Linked DNA regions of Sus scrofa. The protein of the gene in region 1 purifies or fractionates together with the protein of each later gene. This does not show direct contact. Links are inferred from orthologs where the notes say so. Each region holds a gene or a part of one and is shown in the gene's direction. Other genes may lie near its edges.

Region 1 (4,078 bases):
TTGGATTCATTTCTGCTGCCCCACACGGGGGCTGCCCCACATGGGGACTCCCCCCAGGCATCATTTAAAAAATAGTTACAGGAATGGCTATGGCAGCCACCAGACCCTTTCCATGTCTAAGTCTAAGCACCAACCCCAGCCTACTCATCTGTTACCACGATATAAGGTCACACTGAAGGGGAAGATCCCACAGACAGCTTCTTGGACTCATAAAGCCATGGCTTAGTTATTAGCAGGTATAAGGTGATGGGGGGGGGTGAGGGATGGAGAAGAGGGGTAGAAAAGATGGGAAACATAAAGGGGAAGAGGACAGAGGGGGAAAAGAAGAAGGGCAACAGGCAGTTGATGGGGTGGAGGTGGAGAACAGAAGAGGAAGGGAGGGAGCAAGGGATGGGGCAGAGAGGGATAGAGGGGAGGAGATGGGATGGGGGTGAGGCATGGAGAGAGAGAGAGGTGAAGTGGAGAGAAGGGAAGAAGGATAGAGGTGTAGAGCACTGGCTTAGGGACCCTGACTCCCAGGGGTTCACACAAAATACCTTTCTCAGCTAGGAGTCCCAATTTTGAAGCTCTCAGTTTGGGGCTAGGCTCAAGCAGTCAGCAAGTGACTCGGGTCCAAGACTATTCTTGGGCTACAGCGGCAGTCGCTGAACCCTGCTTGGGGAAACGGGAGGGAAGCAGGGGACGGAGCAGTACCTCTGGCCATTTATAGTTTTCCCCAGCCCATAACCCAGTCGCTCCAGAGTACCCTCATATCCATACATTCACCCTCCATCCCCCTTCACACTCTATCCCACCCCACTCCACTTCCAACTCTACTTCATTCTCAGCAAGATCTGAGCTCCTCTAACCCTCTGGCCTCTCCTTCCCCACGTACAGCCCTCCGTTCTCTGGGGCCCTTCCAAATTCCCGACTGGGTTCTTGTCTAAGCCTTCGCGCCTGCCAGACAAAAGCCACAGCCCAGCTCCCACCTTCTTGCCCTGGAGGGCATAACCCTGCTGTGATTTCTGACTCGTCTCTGCTAGCGCTGGCTCCGTTTGCCAGCTTCTCGGGATCCCAAAAGCTGCAGACTCCTCCCAGACACCTCCTCTGCAACTGTGTAGGCAGCGGCGGCGGTTTCTGTTGCCACGTAACAAGAAAGGGGGGGTGGGGCCCAGACGCCTGTCATAATCTCGCGCCCTGGCAAAGGATCAACGAAACCTCTACGTCAGCTTGATGGCCCCGCCCCTGTTTCCCGCCCGCGCCGGAAGCCGAAAATCCTGTTAGGCCTGGCTTTATTCTCGCGAGGTTTGCCCTCCGCCCGGCCTGCACTGCGGTGTTTCCCGCGCGGGCTATCCCAGTTCGCGGGCGTACGGCGCGGCCTTTCCTACCGCTGCCGGCGCCGCCACGGTCATGGGTTTCCTGAAGCTGATTGAGATCGAGAACTTTAAGTCGTACAAGGGTCGACAGATTATCGGACCATTTCAGAGGTTCACCGCCATCATTGGACCCAATGGCTCTGGTGAGATAAGCCCGGCTGCGGCCCTGCGCACGTCCCAGCCTGGACCCCCTATCCGGCAGCAGAGTAGTACAACCCAGCCTGTGCAACCAGAAGTGTTGCGAACCCTAACGGGTTCCTTGCCCTCCTGAGGGGTTTCGACCCGGACCCGCTTTCCCTCCTTGGGTGCTCTGACTCGAACCTCACCCCCAGGTGTCAGTTGCCCGCTCTTTGCGCGGCCCCCGCCCGGGCCGGAGTGGTACGGGCCGAACTCAACGTTACCCCGCCCACTGCCCCCTCCCGCCAAAAGTGGCGCGTCCCGAGCCGGCTGCCAGTCGCTGGCCACGCAGTTCCTCGCCCGACCTGCTGCATCCGGCCTCAGCGTATTGTTTGAACCCTCCGGAAGATTGGGACTGTGGTAGCCCTCCCGTGGCCTCCGGCCCAAACGGTATACTTCTGCTTCAGCCCAGCGCCCCCTCCCGCCTCTCATTGGTACACTTCAATCCCCCCCCCTTTTTAATAATAATAAAAAAACCCTCCTCCAGAGGCGGCACTTTTGAATTTCGGACTCAGCGCTCGCGTCTACGGAGTGCTTTGGGGTCTCTAGCCCCCACCCTCATCTGAGAGGTGGGGATGTCTCGAATTCACCCCTTTCCTACCCCTGAAACCGTCAAAAGTCAGAACTCAATTGCTCGTCAAATTTAGTCAATGCTTATTACTGTTTTATAAAGAGTTATTCTATCAACGTTCTGTGGAAACAGTGGAGACTAGAATAAACCATGCTCTCAGGGAACTTACATTTCAGAGAGGACAGATGATAATAAAGGAGAAAATAAGTTATTTTTCAGCTGTGATAAGTGCTATCCAGGAAATTAGATTGATGTAATTCAGTGACAATATGATAGAATCAGTTGGATAGCTCTTTAGAAAAAGTGGTCATTAATTAACAATGCTGTATTGCATATTTAAGAGTTGCTAAGAGAGATCTTTTTTTTAAAAAAATCACATGAAAAAATTAACTGAGGTTGAGTTCCCGGTATGGCTCAGTGGTTAACGAATCCGACTAGGAGCCATGAGGTTGCCGGTTCGATCCCTGGCCTTACTCAGTGGGTTAAGGATCCGGCGTTGCCGTGAGCTGTGATGTAGGTCGCAGACTCGGCTAGGATCCCGCGTTGTTGTGGTTCTGGCGTAGGCCGATGGCTACGGCTCAGATTAGACCCCTAGCCTGGGAACCTCCATATGCCGCGGGAGCGGCTCAAGAAAAGGCAAAAAAAAAAGACCAAAAAAAAAATTAACTGCAGTAATCGATGTTAATTAAATTTATTGTGGCAACCATTTTGTAATATATACAAATACAGAATCATGTTGTACACCTGAAACTAATACAATGTTGCATGTTAGTTATATCAAATTAAAACTGGGTGGAAAAGTAAAAAAGAAAAGAGAAGGGAAGGAAAGCCAAAAGGAGGGGTAGCCAGATAAGGCCTCTATTTCATATCTAAATTCTCCATCTCTAAATGATACACCATGGATTCCTCCCATCTACTCCCCAGTAGGCTGTCTGTTTGAAGTTCTGCTGTGTTTCTCCACCCTGGAGGTGTTCTAGCTAAATCACTTCCTAGCCCGAGGGGCTTCCCTAACTGCAGTAGCTCTAACTGATGACCTTCCTGGAGTCTGACCTGGATTTAGCCGTTGAACAGGGTTTCTCAACAGTGGCACTATTGACATTTCCAGCAAGATACTTCTTTGCTGTGGGGTCTGTCCTGTATATTGTAGGATGTTTAGTGGCATCCTTGTCTTCTATTCATTAGATGATAGTAGCACACCCCCCAGCCCCTACTCCCAGGTGTTACAATGAAAATGTCTCCAGACTTTGTCATGTCCCCTGGAGGCAGGGGCAAAATCTCTCCCCCTACCCTACCTCATTTGCGAACTACTGGCCTAGATGACTAATGCTTGGGGTTCCACTGCAGTTTCTTAGGAGTTTGGTGTGGTGGCCCCTGTGGAAAGAGCAGGGATGCATCTCTTGGCATCTAGTCCCCTCAGCATGGAAAAATTTGTATACCCAGCTATTCTGAAAAGGCCCTGGTCTGACTGCAGCGGGTGGGAGTGGGTCACTTCTGCCCCATTCTTCAATACGGGACTCCACAAGGCATTGGTTGATTCCCCTTAGTGAATTCCTCTCTGGCACACAGTAGACATTTGGTACATGTTAACATTTATTTTCTTCTATCTTTTATTCATGGTATATGTTTTTTATCTTCAGTCACTGGTCTATGGAGAAGACATTTAATAAGACATTCCTTAAAACATAGTGTCATTGTTCTAGTCATAATGCATGTTTACAGTATTGCATGATTGGGAGTGGGGGGCTTTGGTTGTGAGATGTTCTTGCCATCCTTGGATAGCATGGGAGAAACCCAAAGGGGAGTTCCCGTCGTGGCGCAGTGGTTAACGAATCCAACTAGGAACCATGAGGTTGCGGGTTCGGTCCCTGCCCTTGCTCAGTGGGTTAACGATCTGGCGTTGCCGTGAGCTGTGGTGTAGGTTGCAGACGTGGCTCGGATCCCGCGTTGCTGTGGCTCTGGCGTAGGCCGGTGGCTA
Region 2 (3,500 bases), on another chromosome or scaffold:
GAATAATTGTGTCTTCACAGGATGAATGCTACCAAGTAAGACAAGTATTTGCTCAGAAACTTCACAAAGGCCTTTCCCGATTACGGCTTCCGCTTGAGTATATGGCCATTTGTGCACTTTGTGCAAAAGATCCTGTAAAAGAAAGAAGAGCTCATGCCAGGCAGTGTCTGGTAAAAAATATCAATGTGAGGCGCGAGTATTTGAAGCAGCATGCAGCTGTTAGTGGTAAGCGTACATGAAAATGAAAAGTGTCCTTTTCCGTCCTGCCAGTTTCAGTTTTATAAACCTCAAGATGATGGTACTGTTATTTATTCTAACTGACCCTCATTAAATATGAGTGTTGCTCTTTTCAATAACAACTTTTCCTTTTAAAAGGTCATTTTAAAATAGAAATGCATGGGCATTTAAATATCAACCTATACCTCTTTATGTAACTGACTGAAAGGCCAAAGGAAATAAGCAGTGACTTGGGAGGTACTTTTATTTATTTATTTTTTTGTCTTTTTGCCATTTCTTGGGCCGCTCCCGCGGCATATGGAGGTTCCCAGGCTAGGGGTCCAATGGAGCTGTAGCCCCCGGCCTACACCACAGCCACAGCAACGCAGGATCCGAGCCGCGTCTGCAACCTACACCACAGCTCATGGCAACACCGGATCCTTAACCCACTGAGCAAGGGCAGGGATCGAACCCACAACCTCATGGTTCCTAGTCAGATTCATTAACCAGTGAGCCACGACGGGAACTCCATGGGAGGTACTTTTAATAAAACAGTAAAAAGTACATTTATATAGATTGTTCTTTGATCTTTGTTGGTTGACCTTACCTGTAGCTGACATGAAGAGCAGGTTCCTATGTGCCTTTTTAAAAGCTGCTCACTTTACCCCTCCATGCTGTTAGTTTTTGTGCCTCTCTGACTTCTTGGACTTGTTTAACATCATTAAAATCCATCCAGTTATGCAAGTCAGAAATCAGAGACATTCTTCATGTCTTCTTTGTTCCTCTCATTGGTCACTAAATTCTCTTAATTCTTCTTCTGAATATCTTGAATATTTCTCCTCAGCTCTCCTACTCTGGTATATTTCACTTGGGTTATCATATATACTCCTAATTAACTCCTTGTGCAAATGTTCCCCTGTTTCTGGCCCATCTCCAGCTGTGCCACATTACTATCAAAGTAATCTTTCTAAAACAGATCAGATCACATCACTTCCTTACTTGAAATCCCTGTTGATTCCTTATTGCTCATAGGATCAGGTTGAAAAGCATGAGCATAGCCCTTTATAGTTTATTTTTACCCTGAGTTTCAAGCTTTCTCTCAGCCACTCCCTACTGTAAATTCTGTGATCCTCATACTCTAGATAATTTGAAATTTGTGCAGTTGTCTTTTTTTCTCTTTTGTCAACTCTGCCTGGAAATTGCCTCCCCCTTCTGGCCAAACAGATAAACAAAACCAAGGAGAGTGGTTTGCGCCCCCTTTGAATCTTTTAAAATACAGTTTTGGTGTTTCCTCATCACTGGGACCCTCTTTGTTCTCTTCTTTCCTCACCTTGTAAAAAATGAGGGCTCTGGAGTCAAACCCACCCCTGCCAATTACTAATTGTGTTTGGGCAGGTCACTGTTGCAGTCTTAGCCTTAGTTTCCTTATTTGTAAGGTTAGTATAATTTTACTCATGTCTTATGTTAGTTATGAGGACTAAAAAATTATGTGTATAAAGGACCTGTCATAATGCGTGGTCCAAAGAAATACTCAGTAGTTGTTAGCTAGTCTTATTTTAGGGCACTTTCCATAATGAAGTATAGCTTCTGTCCTGTCTGTGCTCTAGTGTGAGGTCTTTATCTAGTTGTATTCATCTTTACATTTAAAATAGGAAACCCCGATAAAAAATAGTAGACCTAGAAAAGAGGAGGAAGCGCTCAGTAACTATTTGATAGACTTTAATTCAAATTTCACTGAATTTTGAAACTTGCTACATTTTTCTTCTTCTATACCTACCTTGAAATGAAGGATATTACACACAAACTATTTTCTTTGAGTTCAGTAATAGAAATAAAGAAAACTTGGTGCCTTATTGACACATATATTTTTGTGTTCTAGGTTGAACATCTGATTTAAAATTTTATTTTGAGAGTAGGAAACATGAAAGGAATTGTTCAGAATATGAATCCTGGTCTTTTGAGTAATCTGTACTAAAACTAGATAGGATTTCCATTTTTAACCTTTGATAAAATACGTAGATCTCAGTCAAAATATAAAAATATTTGAATTTAAATTAAACTTTGTTATTTAAAATGCCCTATAAACAGAATCTATTCCTTTATATCTGTTCTTCTGTTACAAATAATAGCCAGAGTGTCAACCTTTACTTCGTAATTTTTTCTGCCGTACTAAATGAAACATTTACTAGTTTTTATCATTTTGCTCAGCAGCTTACAAGGGAGTATTGAATATTGAGTTGCTAATAATAAAAAGACAAATAGTTCTTATGTTTCTTAGTCTTGAATATGGTTTGGGTCACTTTTCCCTCTATCTATTGAAAATTCCAATATTTGTCTTTGTAGCTTCAGCACATGTGCATTTAGTAGGCATTTCAACGTTGGACATCATGGATGAATGAATAAGCTGTTTAACTTATGATGTACCTCAGCATTGGACGTTTCAGTGTATTACCATATTGTGGTAAACTTTTGGGGTAGAGGAAATAGAGTATCAGAGAGAAAGAGAATGAGTAAAACTTGGTTTTCTAACCTGGATGTTTTTGTTTTGTTTTGTTTTGTTTCTTTCTTTTTTCTTTCTTTTTTTTTTTTTTTTTTTTTCTTTTTCAGAAAAATTATTGTCTCTTCTACCCGAGTATGTTGTTCCATATACAATTCACCTTTTGGCACATGACCCAGATTATGTCAAAGTACAGGATATTGAACAACTTAAAGATGTTAAAGAGTAAGATTTTTTTCCATCCCATTTTCATATGTTCTGAAAGTTTTTTCCCCTTTCCTGCTGATAATGGAATCTTAGTTATAATCAGTTTATTAAATTTATTTCATTTATTAGGAGTTTAAGATTCTTTACCTTATTTGTTCTCTTTCTTTTTTCATACCATTGCTTCACATTTCATTTCTTAGATAGTTTCCCCAAACAACCTAGCATAATTATTGTATTACTGTCCTATTTCTCTACCAGCCTAACAGTTCTCTTCTACTTAAGCAGTCCATTAAGAGTTTCCATTCCAACTCTTATCTTTTCCTACTTTCCTCTGTAATGATGTATAGATTTTCATTTGGGGTGAATTAATACTCTCTTTATTCACATGGTGAGGACATTTTCTTTGTAGTTACCATCTTCCTCCCTAAGGAAGAGAGAAGTGGTCTGATTCGCTAATAGCCCAGGTTGATAACCAGGGAACTGCGCCTGCTTGCTCCTTCATTGGTGGTTCTCTCATTAGAGCTTCTAAAAGCTGCAGTTCTTTCAAAGATTCTTGTAGACAGGCTGAAAGAATATCAAT
Region 3 (4,182 bases), on another chromosome or scaffold:
AGCTACTGCTTGCAGCCACAACTACACCCACAAGTTTGGCTGGCTCTCACTCAACCCTCGACATTGGCAGGGAAGAAATTAGGAGCTTTAATTTCTAGGGACAGACACTAAAGCCCAGAAAGGGAAAAGTGACTTGCCTGAGCTCAAAGCAAGTAACCTAGCTGGACCAGAATCTGGGGCTCCAGCCTCCCAGGCCTGAGTGTCTCACTGTGCTGTTGCTTAGGGAGGGCCTGTTAACTAGTCATGCTGGGCCTGTCCTGATCCCCCCAAGTTGCCCAGGCCTCACCATAACAGATGAGGCGGGTCGTCTCCCGGGTGGCCAGGGGTACGTTGCACAGGCGGCAATTGGGGTTGTAGTCGCTATCTTGGAGCCACTGCAGATAGGACTGGACGATGCACTGGAGTGGGAGAAAGAGATCACAACTGGAGCAAGGGCTCCACAGCCCATCTCCCCAAGGCCCAGATGCCTCTTTTTCTCTCATCACAGAAGAGCCCCATCCTTTCATTTGACCAATGGAAAGACACATATTGAACACATACTGTATGCCAGACTCTGTCTTAAGAACTAGGGATGTAACAGTGAACAAAATCAATTAAGCTCTTGCCCTCGTGGAGCTTCCACTCTAGGGCCAAGACCTTCATGGATTTGGAGGAAGTCAATACCAACTGCCTACCTTGTGCCCTGCACAGGCACTCCCTTGAACACCCACCTTGGCATGATTGGCTACCAGACAGTGCTCGCAGACGTTGACTCGGTGTTCGAAGCAGAACAGGTTGGTCACTTTCCTCTTGGGGCACTTGCAAAGCCCCATAGTCGACCCTGAGGAAGGGGGTCAGAAGTGGCAGGGGACCAGGTTCTGGGGGCCGCCACTACGCACTCACCAACTCAGTTCGTTTCCACTCTTAACCGCCTTCGACACCTCTTGTATTCGCCCCAACCCCACATTCCTGCCCACCGTCCCTCTTCACTCCGAGACACGCCCCCTGCATAAATCCCACCTCCGGAGACCCCCCCATTCCTCCCATATCCCACCCGCGGCCAGACCCCTCCGATACCACCGGCCCCGCCCCCAGGGGCCCCTCCTGAGCCCCACCCCCTCAAGCCCCGCCCCCACCTCCTCCACAGACCGTACTCTGTGTTACCAATCCGGGGCTGCACCGGTCCCCAGAGGCGCGAGCTCCGCTCCGAGCCGCAGAAGGTCAGACTGCGCTCAGCCGAGTTCTCGCTCAGCTTTCTCCAGCTCAGAACGCTCCGATTATCCCTCCGCTGCCACGTCTCTTCCGGGTGCGGCGCGTGCTGATGACGCCAGCGCGCCACTGGCCCCGCCCCTGCAGACGCTAGACGTGGAGGCGGGTGCAAACGGTGTAACCAGGGCTTATCGGTCCTCCCGCCCAACGTCACTTCCGCTTCCTCCCGAGCGAGGCGGGCAATTCGAACGTTTGCGCTTCGGGTTGGCGCGGGAGCGTGCGGCCGTGGCGTCGGCGGCGAAGATCGAGCCCAAGGCTAGACATGTCCGAGAGGCGAACGCGGTCCGGAGGGGCCGCCCAGAGCTCCGGTGAGCGGAGGGCGCGAGGGAGAGATGGGGCTGAGCCGTTTGAGGGACGCAGTTCCGTGAGGAAGGCCCTCCCGCCACCCTCACTGCCTTTGGAGGCTTGTTCCCCGCCCAGGAAGGTGTCCACAGAGGGCTTGTTTGGGAGACTCTCTCGCTCTCTCCAGAACCTGAGGACTCTAAACTCTAAGGTCTAGAGTCCTCCCCCGCCTCCTAAATTTTTCTCTTTCCAGGGCCCAGGACCCCAACTCCTACTCAGTCTCTAAGGAGGTCCCAGCGGAAATCAGGCTCTGATCTTCCAAGCACCTTCCCAGAAATCCGGCCTAAGGTGAGCCCGGGATTCCTCAGTCCTCCTGCTCCGGAGGCCCCTGGACGAATGCAGAGCTCATGTTCACCCCTCTTCCTCCAGGCACCCCAGGCGGCTCCAGTCCGAAAGCCCATCGTCTTGAAGAAGATCGTGGCCCATACTGTAGAGGTGAGGGCTGAGAGAGGGTTTGAGCACGGGGAGCCAGAATAGGGGGCCGGCTGTGTGATCACTTAATGTTGTCTCCACAGACTCCATCTGTTCCCACGCCTCGAAGAAGCCCCAGGGTAAGTTCGTTTTCATTTTCTTAGTTGAAGGCAACCCAGGACACTCGAGCTGGGGCGTAATGGCTGCTCACATCTGCCTGGGGAGCTGTTTTTGTTGTATTTTGAAATAATTTACCTTTGGATACCTGCATGTGTTGCCAGTTTGGCTCACTTCTTGCATACTTGCGGTGTCTAGCTATTGTTGCGCTGGTATTCTCTACCATTTTCCTTTAAAAGTTGAGCTGTGGTTTTTTTTTTTTTGTCTTTTTAGGGCTGCACCTGCGGCATATGGAGGTTCCCAGGCTAGGGATCTAGTTGGAGCTGTAGACACTGGCCTACACCAGAGCCACAGCAATGCGGTATCTGAGCCGCATCTGCGACCTACACCACAGCTCACGGCAACGCCAGATCCTTAACCCACTGAGCGAGGCCAGGGACCGAACCTGCAACCTCATGGTTCCTAGTTGGATTTGTTTCCGCTGCGCCACGACGGGAACTCCAAGAGTTGAACTGTTTTAATTACTTTTTCTAGTCTGTTGTCCTTAGTATAGTATAATGTCCTTAACTGTTTTAGCAGAAATCATAGTTAAGGAGTTTCAGTAACAAGATCTGTGCCTGAAGGTATCATAAATGAGAAATGGTAACTGTCTTTGAGTAGCTCACAAGGCTTACAGTCAAGTGGGGAGAAAGAAAAAAATAAGTGGGAACAGTGTGCTGAAGACTGCAAAAGAGAAAGGACTAGGAGCTATGAAGGTGCCTAACCCAGACCAGGCAGCTTGGGGTATGTTTCACAGAAGCGTTTAAACAGAGTCGATGAAAACAGGTTGGGGGCATCCCAGGCAAAGGAAGCTGTGCTTGCAGACATCCTGAGTCCACAAGGAAAAGCACGAGGTTCGGGGAGCGGTAGCTTGTTTGGTGCGTCTGCAGCCGACCTTGGCAGGGAGTGTGCTAAGCCAGAGCGGATCTTGATGAGGCATGAAAGCCTAGCTTTCCTAAGCTTGGTTGGGCTTCCTTCTTGGCTCTGTGGGCAGCTTTAGAGAGTCTTCAGCAAGGTAGTAACTGAGGCAAGCCTGGATGTTTTAGAAAGATCCCTCTTGGGTCTGGGTGGAGAACAGGTTGGAGGAAGCCTTCTGGGGACCTCAGGCCAGGTGGGAGGACTTGAATGGAATCCTGAAGTGAGGTAGTGGGAGCCTGAAGTAAGGGAAAGGCAGAGTGCTGCTTTGCCCCCGGCTTACCACACAGCCACCCCTGTCACACAGGACTCAGCTCAAAGGACAGCTCCTCCTGGAAGCCTTTTCCATGTGGTTCTCCATAGGCCTTGTTCATAGCTGAGAGTATATTATTTGCATGTTTGTTGTCTCGAGGGCAGACTTCTGCCTCCACTATGATAGCCACTCTTTCTTATTGGTCGAATAATAGATTCATGAAATTGAGCCCCCCAAAAAACTGCAAGGACGTGGATGACTGCTTAGCTGTAGGGATTGAGGAAGTAGTCAGTGACCCCTCATTTTGTTCAACATCCCTTTTACTTAGACTCATGGGGCAGATTCCCCAGAGCTTGTACCAGGAACTAACCCTCCCCCCTCTCTTAATCAGTTTACTTTTTATTTTATTGAAGGATAATTGATTTACAGGGTCATGGTAGTTTCAGGAACTGGCTTGATAACCAAATATAACTTTATTAGACCAAAAGTGTCACTGAATTTGTCTTTTTTCTCTCCTTGCCTTGGCCGTCAGGAAACTCAGTGCCACGTTTTGCATAAGTTAATTCAGTGAGCATTTATTGAACACCTGCTGCATGCAGGGCTCCGCTGAAGGCGCTAGACATGGGCACAGGCAAGGTTAAGGTCCAACAGGTGGAAAGCCCTGCTCATATGTGAAGCTCACAGTCTAATTGGGTGTGACAGTCAACCAGTGAACAGCGAAAATGAGATAGTGATGGACTATCTGAGTCCACAAGGAAAAGCACGAGGTTTGGGGAGCAGTGGCTTGTTTGGTGTGACTGCAGCCGACCTTGGCAGGGAGTGTGCTAAGCCAGAGCGGCCTCCAGGAAAGAGGCCAT
Region 4 (3,500 bases), on another chromosome or scaffold:
AAAGCCAGTGATCTAACCCGCATCCTCATGGAAGCTAGTTGGGTTTGTTACTGCTGAGCCACGACAGGAACTCTGTTTTTTTTGTTTGTTTTTGTCTCCTAAATTTAATATAAGCATTTTTATCTCAAAAATCCATAGTACCTCTGAGAAGGTTTGGTTGAGTTTCATTCTGAATTGATCTTTAACATTGTTGAAATCCCATGAGTTTAGGGTAACAATTTTAAGGGACTTGGATGCCTAGGGAGGGGTCACTAGAAGACATGAGACCTGCACACTGAAAAGGTAGAAGGGGAGATGTCAAATATGTAAACATTTATTTCTTTAAAATTGAAAGTTATTGCAGTTATTTCAAAATTAATTGACTATGCTATTAATTAGGCAACTGTCCTTTTTATTTAACTTTTACATTGATGTCATTCATGTTTTTATCCTTGACTTATTTTTCATTTTTATAGATAAAGTGGAGAGCTTTAGTGAAGAACATGAAAAGAATAGTCACCATATTTACAAAAATGCTGAAGACAGTACTAAGAAACCCAGTGCAGAAACTACAGTGGCTTCTGGATACAGAGCTGATGAAATCAAGGAAACCAATGATACTTGGAACTCCCAGCATGGAAAAAGATCAGAATCTCCATCAGAAACATCTCCAATCAAGGGATCTATAAGAACTGGTTTGTATGAATGGGATAATGATTTTGAAGATATCAGATCAGAAGATTGTGTTTTAAGTTTGGATAGTGGTCCTGTTTTGGAGATGAAGGATGAGGATTTAAAAAATCGATTGGAAAATCTAAATGAAGCCATTGAGGAAGACATCATGCAAAGTGTTCTTAGGCCGAGTAACTGTAGGACGTACTGTAGGGCCAATAAAGCAAAATCCTCACAAGGAGCATCAAGTTTTGATAAGCTAATGGACGGCACCAGTCAGGCCTCAGCCAAAGCAAACAGTGAATCAAGTAAAGATGGCCTGAATCAGGCAAAGAAAGGCAGTGTAAGTTGTGGGACCAGTTTTAGGGGGACAGTTGGACGGACTAGAGATTATACTGTTTTGCATCCATCTTGCTTGTCAGTTTGTAATGTTACCATACAGGATACTATGGAACGCAGTATGGATGAGTTCACTGCATCAACTCCTGCAGATTTGGGAGAAGCTGGCCGGTTAAGAAAAAAGGCAGACATTGCAACATCTAAGACCACTACTAGATTTCGACCTAGTAATACTAAATCTAAAAAGGATGTTAAACTTGAATTTTTTGGTTTTGAAGATCATGATGATACAGGAGGTGATGAAGGAGGTTCTGGGAGTTCTAATTACAAAATTAAGTATTTTGGCTTTGATGATCTCAGTGAAAGTGAAGATGATGAAGATGATGACTGTCAAGTGGAAAGAAAGACAAGCAAAAAAAGAACTAAAACAGCTCCATCACCCTCCTTGCAGCCTCCTCCAGAAAGCAATGATAATTCCCAGGACAGTCAGTCTAGTACTAATAATGCAGGTAAGACTTAAAAAAAATTATTGCAAGTAAATAGGTTTTTCAGGCTTAAATAACAGCTACTTAGTTTCCTCCTAGATAATCAATTTTAGTTTGTTACCATGTTTAATTTTAATAGAAGTACCTATTTAGAGTCAAAGATTACCTTATCCAAAGATACAGCACTTTAAATGTTAATAAAGTTCCACTTTGTTAGGAACCAACTTGTAAATGGAAGAGTCTTTTCATGTTTGTATTTTATTTCCACCATTAGCAGTTGAGTTTTTAAAGTGTGTGTGTGTGTGTGTGTGTGTTCTTGTGTCTACAGGTTTTTCAACTTCGAAAAACCAAATGCAGTGGAGACATAAGGATAGATTCTGGTCATTTAGTATGCTGTTGATATTAAATGGTTATAATGAGGGAAATATGGGAACATTGAAATAAAGCCTTTGTAGTTGTCTCAAAACTAATCAGCTAATGTTAAAAATGTTCTAAAGAAATTTTAAACTTATAAAGTTAAGATTAAATCTTAATCTTTGGAATCACTCACTTGGAATTCCCGCTGTGGTGCAGCAGGTTTAAGAATCTAGCATTGTCTCTGTGGCAGTGCCAGTTTGATTCCTGGGCCTGTGCAGTGGGTTAAGGATCTGGTGTTGCTACAGTTGTTGCGTAGGTTGCAGCTGCAGCTCAGATTTGGTCCCTGGCCAGGGAACTTCCATATATTATGGATGTGACCGGAAAAGAAAAAAAAGAATCACTCTCTTAAATTGAGTTAATACTATTGAAAAGTGCTGATTAAGTATTTATACACTCTTACCAGTGAAAAATTAATTTGCACTTTAAGATAGATAGTAGAATCAGTAATGACTCCGCCTTTGAGGAGTTGGTAGTCTCCACTGTGAGAGACAAAGGAAAGAAATAGGTTGGCTTTGCTCTGAACAAGTCATTACTTGACAAGGGCTTTGTGAAGTGGATTGAGTATTGAGTGAGGAAGCCTCAGTGTGAAAGCCTCTGGGACACAGGGGCTATCTTTATTTATATTTAACCAGTACAGTTTTCCTTAACAGTTTACTTGTTAAATAAAGCTTTTGTCCTTTTAAGGTCGTAGAAGAGTTATTATGGTGAATTAAAATTATCATAGTATTCATACATATAGGTTCTCTTGTAAAGTATGTCATACCATTTTGCTTTATTTGGCTTAAAAATAGTTTTGCTAGATTAGAATCATGTGCATAAATAAGTTTCAGAATTTATCCAATGTTTTGAATCTCTTCTGGAGAACTGAAGTTTGCTGCAGCCTTGCTCATCACTTGAGATTTGACGGGGCAAACAGCTTTACATTTGCTTTCTCAGGAGGATGATAAGTTAATTATGTAATGAAACCTGAGCTCCATTCCTGCCAGAAGCTACTTGACTCTTATGCTAACCTTGATAGCAAATTATCCTAATCTGCAGGTCAGAATCTGTGGCTGAAATTTATATTTTAAAACAATAAACTTTTTAAGCTTTAAAATAAGAAGGTTGGAATCTGAGTCTTCATATATTGTATGAATAGCAATCATTTTTAAGGATTGGAATAGAGAAAAGTTTATTTTTTTATTTTCTTTTTTCTTTATTTTTTGGTTTCGGTCAGAAAAATTACAACCATTTGGAAATTAATACTTTGGTTAGTTTTGTGGGAATGTATATCCACAAACGACTGAACTACATTGTACTAGGTCATTCTATGTCTTTTGCTAAGGATAACTATATCCTTTTTTTTTTTTTTTTAAATGTGACTTTTGTAGATGTAAGTAGGCATTCTTTAAAGGCAAGTGTGATTCAGTGTACTTAAATTCTGGAAAAATAGTACAGGTAGATACCACCTAATGGTATGTATATGTGTGTGTGTTTAAACTAGACCATACCAGCGTCAGTGTCTATAGATATCTAGCAGTTATATGAACTTTATATAAGAAGAACTTTATATAATTTGAAGAACAAATATTCTGGAAAATAATTAATTTTGGCAGTAAAACTGGAGCA
Region 5 (3,500 bases), on another chromosome or scaffold:
TTTGTGGAGTGAGGCCCCTTAGGAGGGTCTCTGGACCTAGGAAGCAGGAAGAAGGCAGATACTGGAACCAGGTGGAGGCTCAGGGGAAGGTTCCTTCAATCAGTCTGATCTGGTTCTTCATGAATTAGTAGAATTAACATCTTAGAAGCAGGAAAAGGAGAAATATCTGCTGACTTGCTTATCTCCCGTGAACTGGTCATTTTTGCAAAGTTCAGCCACTCCCCGGGTGACCTTTTCCTCTTTTTTTGGAGGGGATAGTCACTTAGTTGTGTTAATTAGAAAGTGATGATTATGATGATTTTTTTTTGGCTGCCCCACAGCATATGGAGTTCCCAGTCCAGGGATCAGATCCAAGCCGCACGACCTCAGCTGCAGCTGCGCCCTGGCTCTGCAGAAATGCCCCTGTTCCTGTTGTGCCACATCAGGCACTCTTGTGATGATTTTTAAGATGGAATGATTTCCATTTTCTATAAACTCATGCAGCTTTTGACTAGTTTATAAATTCTTAATTTTTTTTTTAATTTGTCTTTTTAGGGCCACACCTGTGGCATATTGAAGTTTTCAGGCTAGGGGTCAAATCAGAGCTACAGCTGCCAGCCTGTGCCACAGCCATAGCAACACCAGATCTGAGCTGTGTCTGCAACCTACAGCATAGGCCACAACAACTACAGATTCTGACCCCCTGACCGAGGCTAGAGATCGATCCTGCAGGGATGAATCCTAGTTGGATTTGTTTCCACTGCACCACAATGGGAACTCCTAGTTTTTAAATTCTTATTCATTATACAAAGGAAATGATGGTGGGGGTCTGTGGTTTGTTTCCTTTTTAGCACCAGGCTTCATCACTTTCTCTTGCCTACTTTGGGGATAGTGACTTACATATTCTGCTCAGTTCTGTGATCTTCTCTAATTGACTGTTGATAGCTTATGAGAGGTAACTTTTTTTTTTTCAGGAAAGAGATTTATGATTTAGTCTCAGAAAATTGCTGGGAATGCCTAATGCTAGCATCCTAGATAGAAGTACATTGTAAACTGATTGTGGACTGGGGAATGAATTGTAAAAGCATATCCAGATGTGTTTAAGAAAACACAAGTGTTTATCAGTGTGCCAAAAAGCTGATAAATCAGGAGTGATTTTTTTTTTTTTTGGTAACACAAAAGAAATTCCCAGAAAGTTCCATTCAAAATCTATATAACATTTTGACTTTGGCTTCCCTGCTCTCTGCAGTGTCGGGTAACCCCAGCATGAAGTTGTCTTGGCAGTGTTTGTTAGAATCTTGGGCTGGGTGCCTCGGATAACTGCAGTTCTTGTAGTTCTTCCTGCTCCTTGGCCCACACCCTCCATGACCTCTAATTGTAGTGACAGGCCCAGGAAGAGGTGAGCCCTCAGGTCTCTTTCAGTGTGAAATTCTGTGGTGTGAAGGCTTTGTGATTTGAGGGTGGTGTGTGGTTAAACCAGCCTTGACTTCTGGACAAATGAAAGACCAGGTTCATGCATCACTTATGGCACATGTGTGGTTTGACCCCCTCACTTGGGTGGGAGTTGATAGTTCCCTCCTATCAGTCTCAAACGGAATGGGTAAAAAACTATGAATGGCTTGATGCAGCCTGGTGGTGCCACTCTAAACAAGCTTTGAGCAGGCTTCTGTGGCTCTTTGAGGGCAGCAAGTAAGCAATCCTGTCCCAGCCCAGGACCTTCAGGGAAGATTGCTCATTGTCCAAGGGGTTTTGTTTTTTTTTTTTTTAGGGCCACACCCTTGGCATATGGAGGTTCCCAGGCTAGGGGTCCAATCAGAGCTACAGCTACTGGCCTACACCACAGCCACAGCAACACCAGATCTGAGCCACATCTGTAACCTGCACTACAGCTCACAATGACACCAGATCCTTAACCCACTGAGCAAGGCCAGGGATTGAACCCTCAACCTCATGGTTCCTATTCGTATTCGTTTCCCCTGAGCCATGATGGGAACTCCCAAGAGGGTCTTTTTTATTTCAAGAAGATAAGTGATTGCAAAGTCATTTGTTTGCTCTTTTGCTTAGATGAGTTGATCGCCTATGAACTAACGAGAAGGGAAGCAGAAGCAAATAGAAGACCCCTTCCCGAGTTGGTGCGTGCCAAGATACCATTTAGTGCCTGCCTTCAGGCCTTTTCTGAACCAGAAAACGTTGATGATTTCTGGAGCAGTGCCCTACAAGCAAAGTCTGCGGGTGTAAAGTAAGTGTGTGTGTGTGTGTGTGTGTTTGTAATGTTTCTGCACTCGCTTATGTGGTGGCAGTAGGGTAAGGAGGGGACCTTGAGAGGTGGGGACTGTGGTAGGGAGGGTTGGCAGGCACTGTATGAGTCTGGGCATGCTTGACTCAAGTGTGGTGAAATAGGATTATAATTTACACAACCATAGTTGTCGTAGACCTCACTTGTATGAGACTTGTACAGTAAAACAGGCTTGTTGTAATCTATATCATATGCAAGGATGTGGATGCCTTTAAAAAAAAGCCAGGCTGTGGTTTGTCCTCTTTAGGGAATTTGCCTTTTTTTTTTTTGGCCAAGAGGGGGTAGTCAAGAATCCTTCCCTGCTTCAAGAATGATATCAGAAGTATAAATACTTCTGAGAGTCTTCAATTTTTAAACTCTACTGTGATAGACTTTAATTTGATAATGAAAGATTTGCTGGAGTTCCTGCTGTAGCACAGTGGGTTAAGGATCTGGTGTTGTCTCTGTGGTGGCTCAGGTTGCTGCTGAAGCTTGGCGTCGTGGGTTAAGGATCTGGTGTTGGTGCAGTTGTGGCATAGGTGGCATCTGTGGCTGGGATTTGATTCCTGACCATGGAACTTCCAGATGCTGTGGGTGTGGCAAAACAAAAAAAAGATTTGCCTTAGGACTTGGTGGCTGTGGTCCTGCCTGGCAGCTGGGGCTCTGAGGGTTTCTCAAAGGGGACATCAGGGATCCTGAGCATTGTTCCAACGAGCTGCTTAGGATGTGGTCAGCAGGTGTTCTAAAAGCCTTGCTCTCAGATACATAAGAATTTTGATATTCTTGTTGTGGTGCAGCAGAAACAAATCTGACTAGTATCCATGAGGATGTGGATTCAATCCCTGGCCTCTCTCAGTGGGTTAAAGATCCATTGTTGCCATGAACTGTGGTGCAGGTCTCAGATGTGGCTCAGATCCCATGTGGCTGTGGCTGTGGTGTAGGCCAGCAGCTGTAGCTCTGATTCCACCCCTAACCTGGGAACTTTCATATTCCAAGGGTATGGCCCTAAAAAAGCCAAATAAAAAATTTTTTTTTCCTTATTTGACACCTTAATTTTTTTTTTTTTTTTTTTGGTCTTTTTGCTATTTCTTGGTCCGATCCCGCGGCATATGGAGGTTCCCAGGCTAGGGGTTGAATCGGAGCTGTAGCCACCGGCCTACGCCAGAGCCACAGCAACGCGGGATCCGAGCCGCGACTGCAGCCTACACCACAGCTCACGGCAACGCCGGATCGTTAACCCACTGAG
Region 6 (2,663 bases), on another chromosome or scaffold:
AGCTACAGCTCCGATTCGACCCCTAGCCCGGGAACCTCCATATGCCACCGGAGCGGCCCTATAGAAAACACAAATAATAATAATAATTTATTGGAGTATAATTTACTTATAATGCTGTGTTAATTTTAGGTGTACAGCAAGGTGAATTAGTCATACACGGATATTCATTCTTTTGCAGATTCTTCTGATACACAGTATCACAGAATACTGAGTAGAGTTCCCTGTGCTATGCAGCAGCTCCTTGCTAGTTATCTATTTCATATATAGTGGTGTATATATGTTGATTCCAGGTTCCTAATTTATCCCTCTCCCCCACGTTTCCTCTTTGGTAACCATAGTTCGATTTTGAGATGTGTTGAGTGTGTTTTTTTCGTATCATCTCCCCAAGTCATTCATTATTTTGTCAGTTGAAGTGATTTATTTTATTCCTTGGAAAATTATTGAAAACATACCCATATTAAGATACATGCATTATTTTGCTGTCGTTTTTAACTTGGAAATTCTCTCTAATATTTCAGAAATTTTTAATTTAAGTATAGTTAATTTTTTTAAAAATGATGTTTTCTCGCATGGTTCTGCAAACACAAAGGTTTTCATTCTTGTTTTTTCAAGTTTTAGCTGTCTTATAGCAGGAAAGCCTGTGGTCATCAGGAACAATTAGATATTTGAGATTTGTTTGTGTGGTAAAAATCAATAGCTTCTCTGTTCATTGTGCTTTGAGAAATTGTAGACTAGTTGTTGAAATTTTTTCTTTTAGTGACATATTGTTTGTTTCTTCCACCAGGATCATGACTTTTTCCAGCATGTGGAAATGCACCTCCGATCTGAGCATCCCCCTCTCTGTGGGCGAGACCACCTCAGTTTTCGTTCCTATTACTTTCCTGTTAAGGTATGTCTTTGTTGGAAATCTGGGTTGAAAGGGGGAATCCGGAGTTCCCGTCGTGGCGCAGTGGTTAACGAATCCGACTAGGAACCATGAGGTTGCGGGTTCGGTCCCTGCCCTTGCTCAGTGGGTTAACGATCCGGCGTTGCCCTGAGCTGTGGTGTAGGTTGCAGACACGGCTCGGATCCCACGATGCTGTGGCTCTGGCGTAGGCCGGTGGCTACAGCTCCGATTCGACCCCTAGCCTGGGAACCTCCATGTGCCGCGGGAGCGGCCCAAGAAATAGCAACAACAACAAAAGACAAAAAGACCAAAAAAAAAAAAAGAAAAGGGGGATCCTCAGCCATTTAACCAGTCTTTTCTCTGGGCCTCCCTCCCCTTAAAAAAACAGCAGTCTTATATAAAGGAGCACTGAGGGACTGAATTGATGGGAGACAGTAATAGGGTAGAGGAATATTCAGAGACCTCTTTCTTCAGGACAGACCATGGCCAGAGAAAAGATTTCACCTCATTTTGCTCATTTAAACTCTGGCTACTAAGAATCAACTTAGAACAGTATTCCTAGCTCTATAAAGTTCAGGTATCTGGTGGAGAATAAAAAGTTTTCTTTGGCAGTTACTGCTTTAGCATATGCCATTTTCCTTCCTCTCTCATTTTTCTGTGTCTTAGAATGTGATTGATGGAGACCTCTGTGAGCAGTTCAACTCCATGGAGCCCAACAAACAAAAGAATGTCTCTGAAGAACTGGACCGAACCCCACCTGAGGTGTCCAAGAAGCTTGAGGACATCCGGACTCGCTATGCCTTCTGAGCCCTTTTCTTATGGGGGCTTGTTAAGAGACTTTTTTTTTCCTCACCACCTGGCTCTGATCCATATGGCAGAAGGAGGGTGGCTGGAAAATTAAGATTTTGCAATATTAAGGCTAATAGCTCTTCCCCATCCACTCTTCCCCTGGAGTGACTGATTTCCCCTAAAATTGGCACTGAGATTTGCTTCACTTCTCCTTGCTTGATACATAATTCATTGCCCCCAGGTTCCAGTGTGGACTACAGTACCCATTTTCCCAAAGCTTTCTTGCATTAGTATTTCTGGCTATCTTGTCTACTTTTGTACACATCCTTAATTTTTAATTGGTTTACCTGTAAATATAGTTTTGTATGATGTTATCTTTGTGGGAGGGAGAGAGGCAAGCTGAGCTGGGGTCCAGATTTATATAGTACAATTCCAGAGTTCTGCCACTCTGGAACATAACCAGAAATACAAACCTAGTTCTTAAGGTGTCTGGTGTCCATGTGTCTTTTCTGGGGATAAGAATTTAGGTGGGAGATTTGAACCTAAGTTGGAGCAGGAAGAAATGAATATCCTCCTTCCAGCTACCTACTTAGATTTCTGGCACCTTATGGCCTCATTCTCCCAGCTCTGTGATGGCTTTTGGCTTTCTTTAGTCTTTTCAACTATGCAGGTGAAATTTGGGCTCAGTAATAACAATCATGTGGTCCTCCATACCACTGGTGTGGTCATCTATCCATACCTAGTGAGGAAGGATGGCTGATTTCTTCTTCCCTGTTTTGTTTGTTTATTTGTTTGTTTTAATTTTGTCTTGGCCTTGCCCATGGCAGTTCAGGGCCAGGGATTGAACCTGCACCACAGCAGCGACCCAAGTCGCAGGAACTCCCTTCCCTGTTTTAACTCCTTTCTACTTTGAGGCCTTAGAGTAAAGGATTTGGCATGGATTCCAACTGGCTAGTCTCTTAATAGATGCTCCTTTTACTTCCACAGC
Region 7 (4,088 bases), on another chromosome or scaffold:
AGAGCGACAAGATCCGATTTAATCCTTTGAGAGATTTTTGAGGCAGAAGGAATAACCTGTAGGCAAATTTTCCTATTTACTTTTGGCGTAATGGTACACATACAAATACATAAACAATATAATTTACGTACGACTCAACGAAATGCAGAAAAGTATACCACAAATTCCGTCCTATTTGAGTAAAATTCTCTTACCTATGCACTTTTTACCTGAAGAATAGCCCCCTTGTAATTTACATTAGTAAACGTTAATAGTGAACTGCGGAACGATAAAGTTAATTCATGTGTTTCAGTAAGAGACACAAAGGGCGCGGTACACATAATCGCATCTGTTCTCCAGCCTTGGCCAGTGGTACCTCACTGTTTGAAACGCAAAGAGGAAAACGGTGTCTGAAATCGGCTGGCCCCAGGCCCACCCGCGGCCCGCATTCCGCCGGCTCTCGTCGCGCGCTCGGCTCCACCCACACCTAGTGGGGGGCGCGGACTCGCGCGCTCCGGGCCCGCTGAGCCGGCTCCTGGCTCGAACAGCGTCGCCTACAGGCCTTTATCCCGACTGTTAGGCAAGAGCCCAAACCGCCGCCAACAAAAAGCAAGACCAGAAAAGACCACATATTTCCAGAAATAAATGCATCATAAACGCGACTCCAATTCAATCCAGCTGAGAATCTTCTTCTCCTCCAAGGGGTGCGTTCTTACTCCGCAGAAATAATGCAGAGACGGGCGTAAAGTTCGGCCTCTCAGAAGGAGAGAAGGGCGTACATTACGATACATCCATCCACCCGGCTGCAGGGAAACCATTTAAAAAATGCACGGTAGCCGTCGGATTGCGGGCGTCCTCTATGGGGCCGCCCCGAGCTCGGCTCCCGAGAGCTAATGACGAGCAGCTGCAACGGCGTGAGCGGCCTACGAGCCGGTCCGGACCTGAGCGCCCCCCACGCACACGACCACCACCGAACTCGGGGCCCGCTCCGGTCGGCCTCCAGGAAAATAAAGAACAGGAAGACCCGGCCCGTCCGTGCCGCAGCGAAAACGCCGCTACGTAGGATCGACAATAAAAGGCAACATCCACAGCCGCCCTGAGGAGGAGAAAGGCGCAGAAGAGAACCACCGCCTGCTCTCTGCCGGCTGCCGGCCGCCGCCGGGCCGGGGTGCGGTGCGGAGAGGCGCGGGCCGTGCAGTCCGGCGCGGCCGAGGACGCGAGCTGAAGTGGTGGCGGCGGCGCGGCGGTGGCGGAAGTGGAGTGGGGAAGAGGGGGTGGTTGTTAGTGTTTGGCGCCGGCGGAGGGAGTCATTCCTGCAGCTGCACTTCCGGTCGGCATTTTGTTCTGCGAGGGAGAGACGGAACGAGAGAGAGAGACACACACAGGGCTCCTTTCCCCCCCGCCCTCCCCCCCTCCCTCCGTCGGTACCGACTCACCCGACACCACCAAGCCGCAGGGAGGGACGCCCCCGCCGACAGGAGGATTGGTTCCCGGGCCGGCGGCGATGCCCCCCCGGTAGCTCGGGCCCCTGGTCGGGTGTTTGCGAGTGTTTCTATGTGGGAGAAGGAGGAGGAGGAGGAAGAAGAAGCAGCGATTTGTCTTCTCGGCTGGTCTCCCCCCGGCTCTACATGTTCCCCGCACTGAGGAGACGGAAGAGGAGCCGTAGCCACCCCCCCTCCCGGCCCGGATTATAGTCTCTCGCCACAGCGGCCTCGGCCTCCCCTTGGATTCAGACGCCGATTCGCCCAGGTAAATTCCTGCTCTTTATTTCGGCGGCGGCGGCGGCGGCGCCAGGTCCTCAGCGTCTCTCCTCCTCGCTCCCCTCCCGGCCGTTTCCTTAGCGGCCCCAGGTCTCCTCCACGGGCGAGTCTAGAGTTCGCTCCTCTCTGGTGGCAGCCGCCCTGGGTGGCGGTGGTTTTGTACCCTCTCCCGGCCGGCTCCGGTGGCGGGGACTGGGCTCCTGCCGGGCGGCCGGGGAGGCGTAGGCCCGGCGGAGAGTGCAGGCCGCGGGCCAGCGGAATCTACTTGAGCTCGGGGATTAGGAGAGCTCCGGGCTGAGCGGAGCTACTGCTGGTCGGTGACAGGCCTCGCCCGGGAGAAGAGCCGTAGCTAGTGAGGAGGCGGAAACAATACAACTAACAGCAAATGTGCCCTGATCGTCCCCATATTTACAACTTTCCTGGTCCGGGAGTGGGGAACGTCCCAGTGAAACAAACAACCCCCCTTCTTCCCCCTGTGACCCCATGAAGGGAGGAAGTAGTTTCAGTTAGTGAGACAAATGTAAATACTCAGACACGGATCCAGTGGTAATTCTTTTCCTGTGTAAAACTTGTTTGGACGTTGGAAAGTTAATAAAGACTCATTTTCTTTTTAAAAAGAATTAAATCGTCCACATGAATATTTAATACAGAAAACCATAGTGTGGTAGACACTACATATGACCTCCCCAACCACGCAGAGAGCTTTTATGTTGTTGTTTGACAGTGTGTTGCACATGGACTTTTTATTCAAAGACAAGTATAAAGTACTTGACAGGTTTATCCTGCCACTTTATATTTGTGTGCGTTATATAAGGACAGTTTTAAACGACTTTGCATGAAACACTCAGGTACTTCCTGATCTAAACGTGTAGAAGCTTAGAAAGAATTTTCAATGTTCTGAGAATGGTAGTGACATACAGGTACAACCAATTTTCTTAAAAGGGTAGAAAATAAGTTATGCTTAAAATCCCTGGGAGGTTAAAAAAAAAAATGTACAAGGTGCCATCCTTTCATGTCAGGGCAGATCTTCTTGAGGTCCCAGGATTGCCATTGGCTGTTTGTGCCCATGATGTTTGACTGTGTAATGAGAGAGGTGTCATTTTAATAGGTCAAATGTATCTGTAATGCTGGAGAAAAATACCAGTTCTATCTTAACAAATTCTAGTTCACAAGTAAGTTAAGTGTATAGAGCTTATTTATGGTGGCGTTAGTAGTGTAGGTTGGTATAAGGGAAAAACCAATTTAAAAGTCCTCAGCCATACAAATTGCATAGAAAAATAAATGGACCTGGGTTGGGCTATTTTGATACTTTGTCTCATATTCACTGAAGGAAAACTTTCATTGGTTAAAATGAAGCAACACTGATCAACAACGTCCCTTGTTTTATTAGTGGGTGTTACATATTTTGTGTCTCATTAGATATTATTGCCATTGTAGAATAAGGAAGTTTTCTGAAGATTACTTTTGAGTTTAGCCCTCTGCTTAAAATAAATTGTTGCACATTTCCTGCAAACGTATGAATAAAGTTAAGAAGAGTGAAGTTAATATAGCTGTCACGTACTAGGCATGTTTTTAATGCTATAAATCCGTGTAGTAGTCAGTAGCGTGTCCGTGATTTGTATTGGTCAGGGAGCAGTTTGAATTTTAAAAAGCCTGAAGCTCCTGCTGAGCCCCAATCCCGGCCTCCCTCCCTCCCACTAATCTCCCATTCCTGTCTTTGTGCTGCCTGCTCCTGTTAGACACTGTTTGCTACAGGGCCTCAGGCCTACACTGGGTGGGGGGCACGCGAATGGGGGCTGGGGGGGTGGGGGGGTGTAGAATACCGAAGGGAGGGACTGTTCACTTCTTAAGCGGAGGGTTTGGGGGTGGGGGTGGGGTAAGGGCTTCAATATAAATGTTTAAAAGGCCCTTATATGATCCTGTGATTGTCTTTACAACTTTTATTTAAATATCATAGACTATGTCAAGGGATGAACATACTTCTACTAAAGGTAATGGAAAGAGTTCTGCTTGCTTAGTTTTCATCGACAGGAGCAACTTATCTTTAGCATTTTATAGTTAAGGAGCTTTCTTACACAGATGTTTGAATCAGTATGTTAGATATCTATTTATGTAATTGATTTTTTTTTATTGTGACTTTGGAATTAAAGTGAATTAGTTCTTATCAGATCTTATTTCCTTAATTCTACATATTTAGTAATCTAAGTAATATAGATGGTGCGATAGCTTTCATTAAGATAGCATAAATATTTCTTTAAAGTAGATTGAAAATATTTTCTGTTTGGTCCAAACCAATTAAAGAGGTTATTTTTAAAGGAGAAGACATTGTAAAACTCGAGTAAAACCTCA

Evidence for each region.
Region 2: the proteins of SMC1A (region 1) and PDS5B purify together in Homo sapiens (affinity purification with western blotting; 8 studies listed by BioGRID and IntAct, with this or other methods). This does not show direct contact. The link is inferred for Sus scrofa from reciprocal best matches to the Homo sapiens genes SMC1A and PDS5B.
Region 3: the proteins of SMC1A (region 1) and CDCA5 purify together in Homo sapiens (affinity purification with mass spectrometry; 7 studies listed by BioGRID and IntAct, counting the BioPlex papers as one, with this or other methods). This does not show direct contact. The link is inferred for Sus scrofa from reciprocal best matches to the Homo sapiens genes SMC1A and CDCA5.
Region 4: the proteins of SMC1A (region 1) and WAPL purify together in Homo sapiens (affinity purification with mass spectrometry; 7 studies listed by BioGRID and IntAct, with this or other methods). This does not show direct contact. The link is inferred for Sus scrofa from reciprocal best matches to the Homo sapiens genes SMC1A and WAPL.
Region 5: the proteins of SMC1A (region 1) and USP13 purify together in Homo sapiens (affinity purification with mass spectrometry; 5 studies listed by BioGRID and IntAct, with this or other methods). This does not show direct contact. The link is inferred for Sus scrofa from reciprocal best matches to the Homo sapiens genes SMC1A and USP13.
Region 6: the proteins of SMC1A (region 1) and SF3B3 fractionate together in Homo sapiens (co-fractionation; 3 studies listed by BioGRID, with this or other methods). This does not show direct contact. The link is inferred for Sus scrofa from reciprocal best matches to the Homo sapiens genes SMC1A and SF3B3.
Region 7: the proteins of SMC1A (region 1) and NIPBL purify together in Homo sapiens (affinity purification with mass spectrometry; 3 studies listed by BioGRID and IntAct, with this or other methods). This does not show direct contact. The link is inferred for Sus scrofa from reciprocal best matches to the Homo sapiens genes SMC1A and NIPBL.

What each region holds. Positions count from the first base shown.
Region 1 is NC_010461.5:46,199,349-46,203,426, reverse strand, and holds the start of SMC1A (structural maintenance of chromosomes protein 1A), read left to right. Parts: upstream 1-1,278; 5' UTR 1,279-1,389; coding exon 1,390-1,498; intron 1,499-4,078. UniProt on the Homo sapiens protein: Involved in chromosome cohesion during cell cycle and in DNA repair. Central component of cohesin complex. The cohesin complex is required for the cohesion of sister chromatids after DNA replication.
Region 2 is NC_010453.5:9,199,694-9,203,193, forward strand, and holds part of PDS5B (sister chromatid cohesion protein PDS5 homolog B), read left to right. Parts: intron 1-20; coding exon 21-225; intron 226-2,823; coding exon 2,824-2,938; intron 2,939-3,500. UniProt on the Homo sapiens protein: Regulator of sister chromatid cohesion in mitosis which may stabilize cohesin complex association with chromatin. May couple sister chromatid cohesion during mitosis to DNA replication.
Region 3 is NC_010444.4:7,102,266-7,106,447, forward strand, and holds the start of CDCA5 (sororin), read left to right. Parts: upstream 1-1,382; 5' UTR 1,383-1,510; coding exon 1,511-1,556; intron 1,557-1,783; coding exon 1,784-1,878; intron 1,879-1,959; coding exon 1,960-2,025; intron 2,026-2,105; coding exon 2,106-2,141; intron 2,142-4,182. Other genes in the region: ZFPL1 (zinc finger protein-like 1), read right to left, coding at 287-398, 711-812. UniProt on the Homo sapiens protein: Regulator of sister chromatid cohesion in mitosis stabilizing cohesin complex association with chromatin. May antagonize the action of WAPL which stimulates cohesin dissociation from chromatin.
Region 4 is NC_010456.5:87,557,679-87,561,178, reverse strand, and holds part of WAPL (wings apart-like protein homolog), read left to right. Parts: intron 1-455; coding exon 456-1,499; intron 1,500-3,500. UniProt on the Homo sapiens protein: Regulator of sister chromatid cohesion in mitosis which negatively regulates cohesin association with chromatin. Involved in both sister chromatid cohesion during interphase and sister-chromatid resolution during early stages of mitosis.
Region 5 is NC_010455.5:117,783,580-117,787,079, forward strand, and holds part of USP13 (ubiquitin carboxyl-terminal hydrolase 13), read left to right. Parts: intron 1-2,043; coding exon 2,044-2,218; intron 2,219-3,500. UniProt on the Homo sapiens protein: Deubiquitinase that mediates deubiquitination of target proteins such as BECN1, MITF, SKP2 and USP10 and is involved in various processes such as autophagy, endoplasmic reticulum-associated degradation (ERAD), cell cycle progression or DNA damage response.
Region 6 is NC_010448.4:13,576,519-13,579,181, forward strand, and holds the end of SF3B3 (splicing factor 3B subunit 3), read left to right. Parts: intron 1-784; coding exon 785-889; intron 890-1,552; coding exon 1,553-1,693; 3' UTR 1,694-2,163; downstream 2,164-2,663. UniProt on the Homo sapiens protein: Component of the 17S U2 SnRNP complex of the spliceosome, a large ribonucleoprotein complex that removes introns from transcribed pre-mRNAs.
Region 7 is NC_010458.4:22,151,167-22,155,254, forward strand, and holds the start of NIPBL (nipped-B-like protein), read left to right. Parts: upstream 1-1,288; 5' UTR 1,289-1,728; intron 1,729-4,088. UniProt on the Homo sapiens protein: Plays an important role in the loading of the cohesin complex on to DNA. Forms a heterodimeric complex (also known as cohesin loading complex) with MAU2/SCC4 which mediates the loading of the cohesin complex onto chromatin.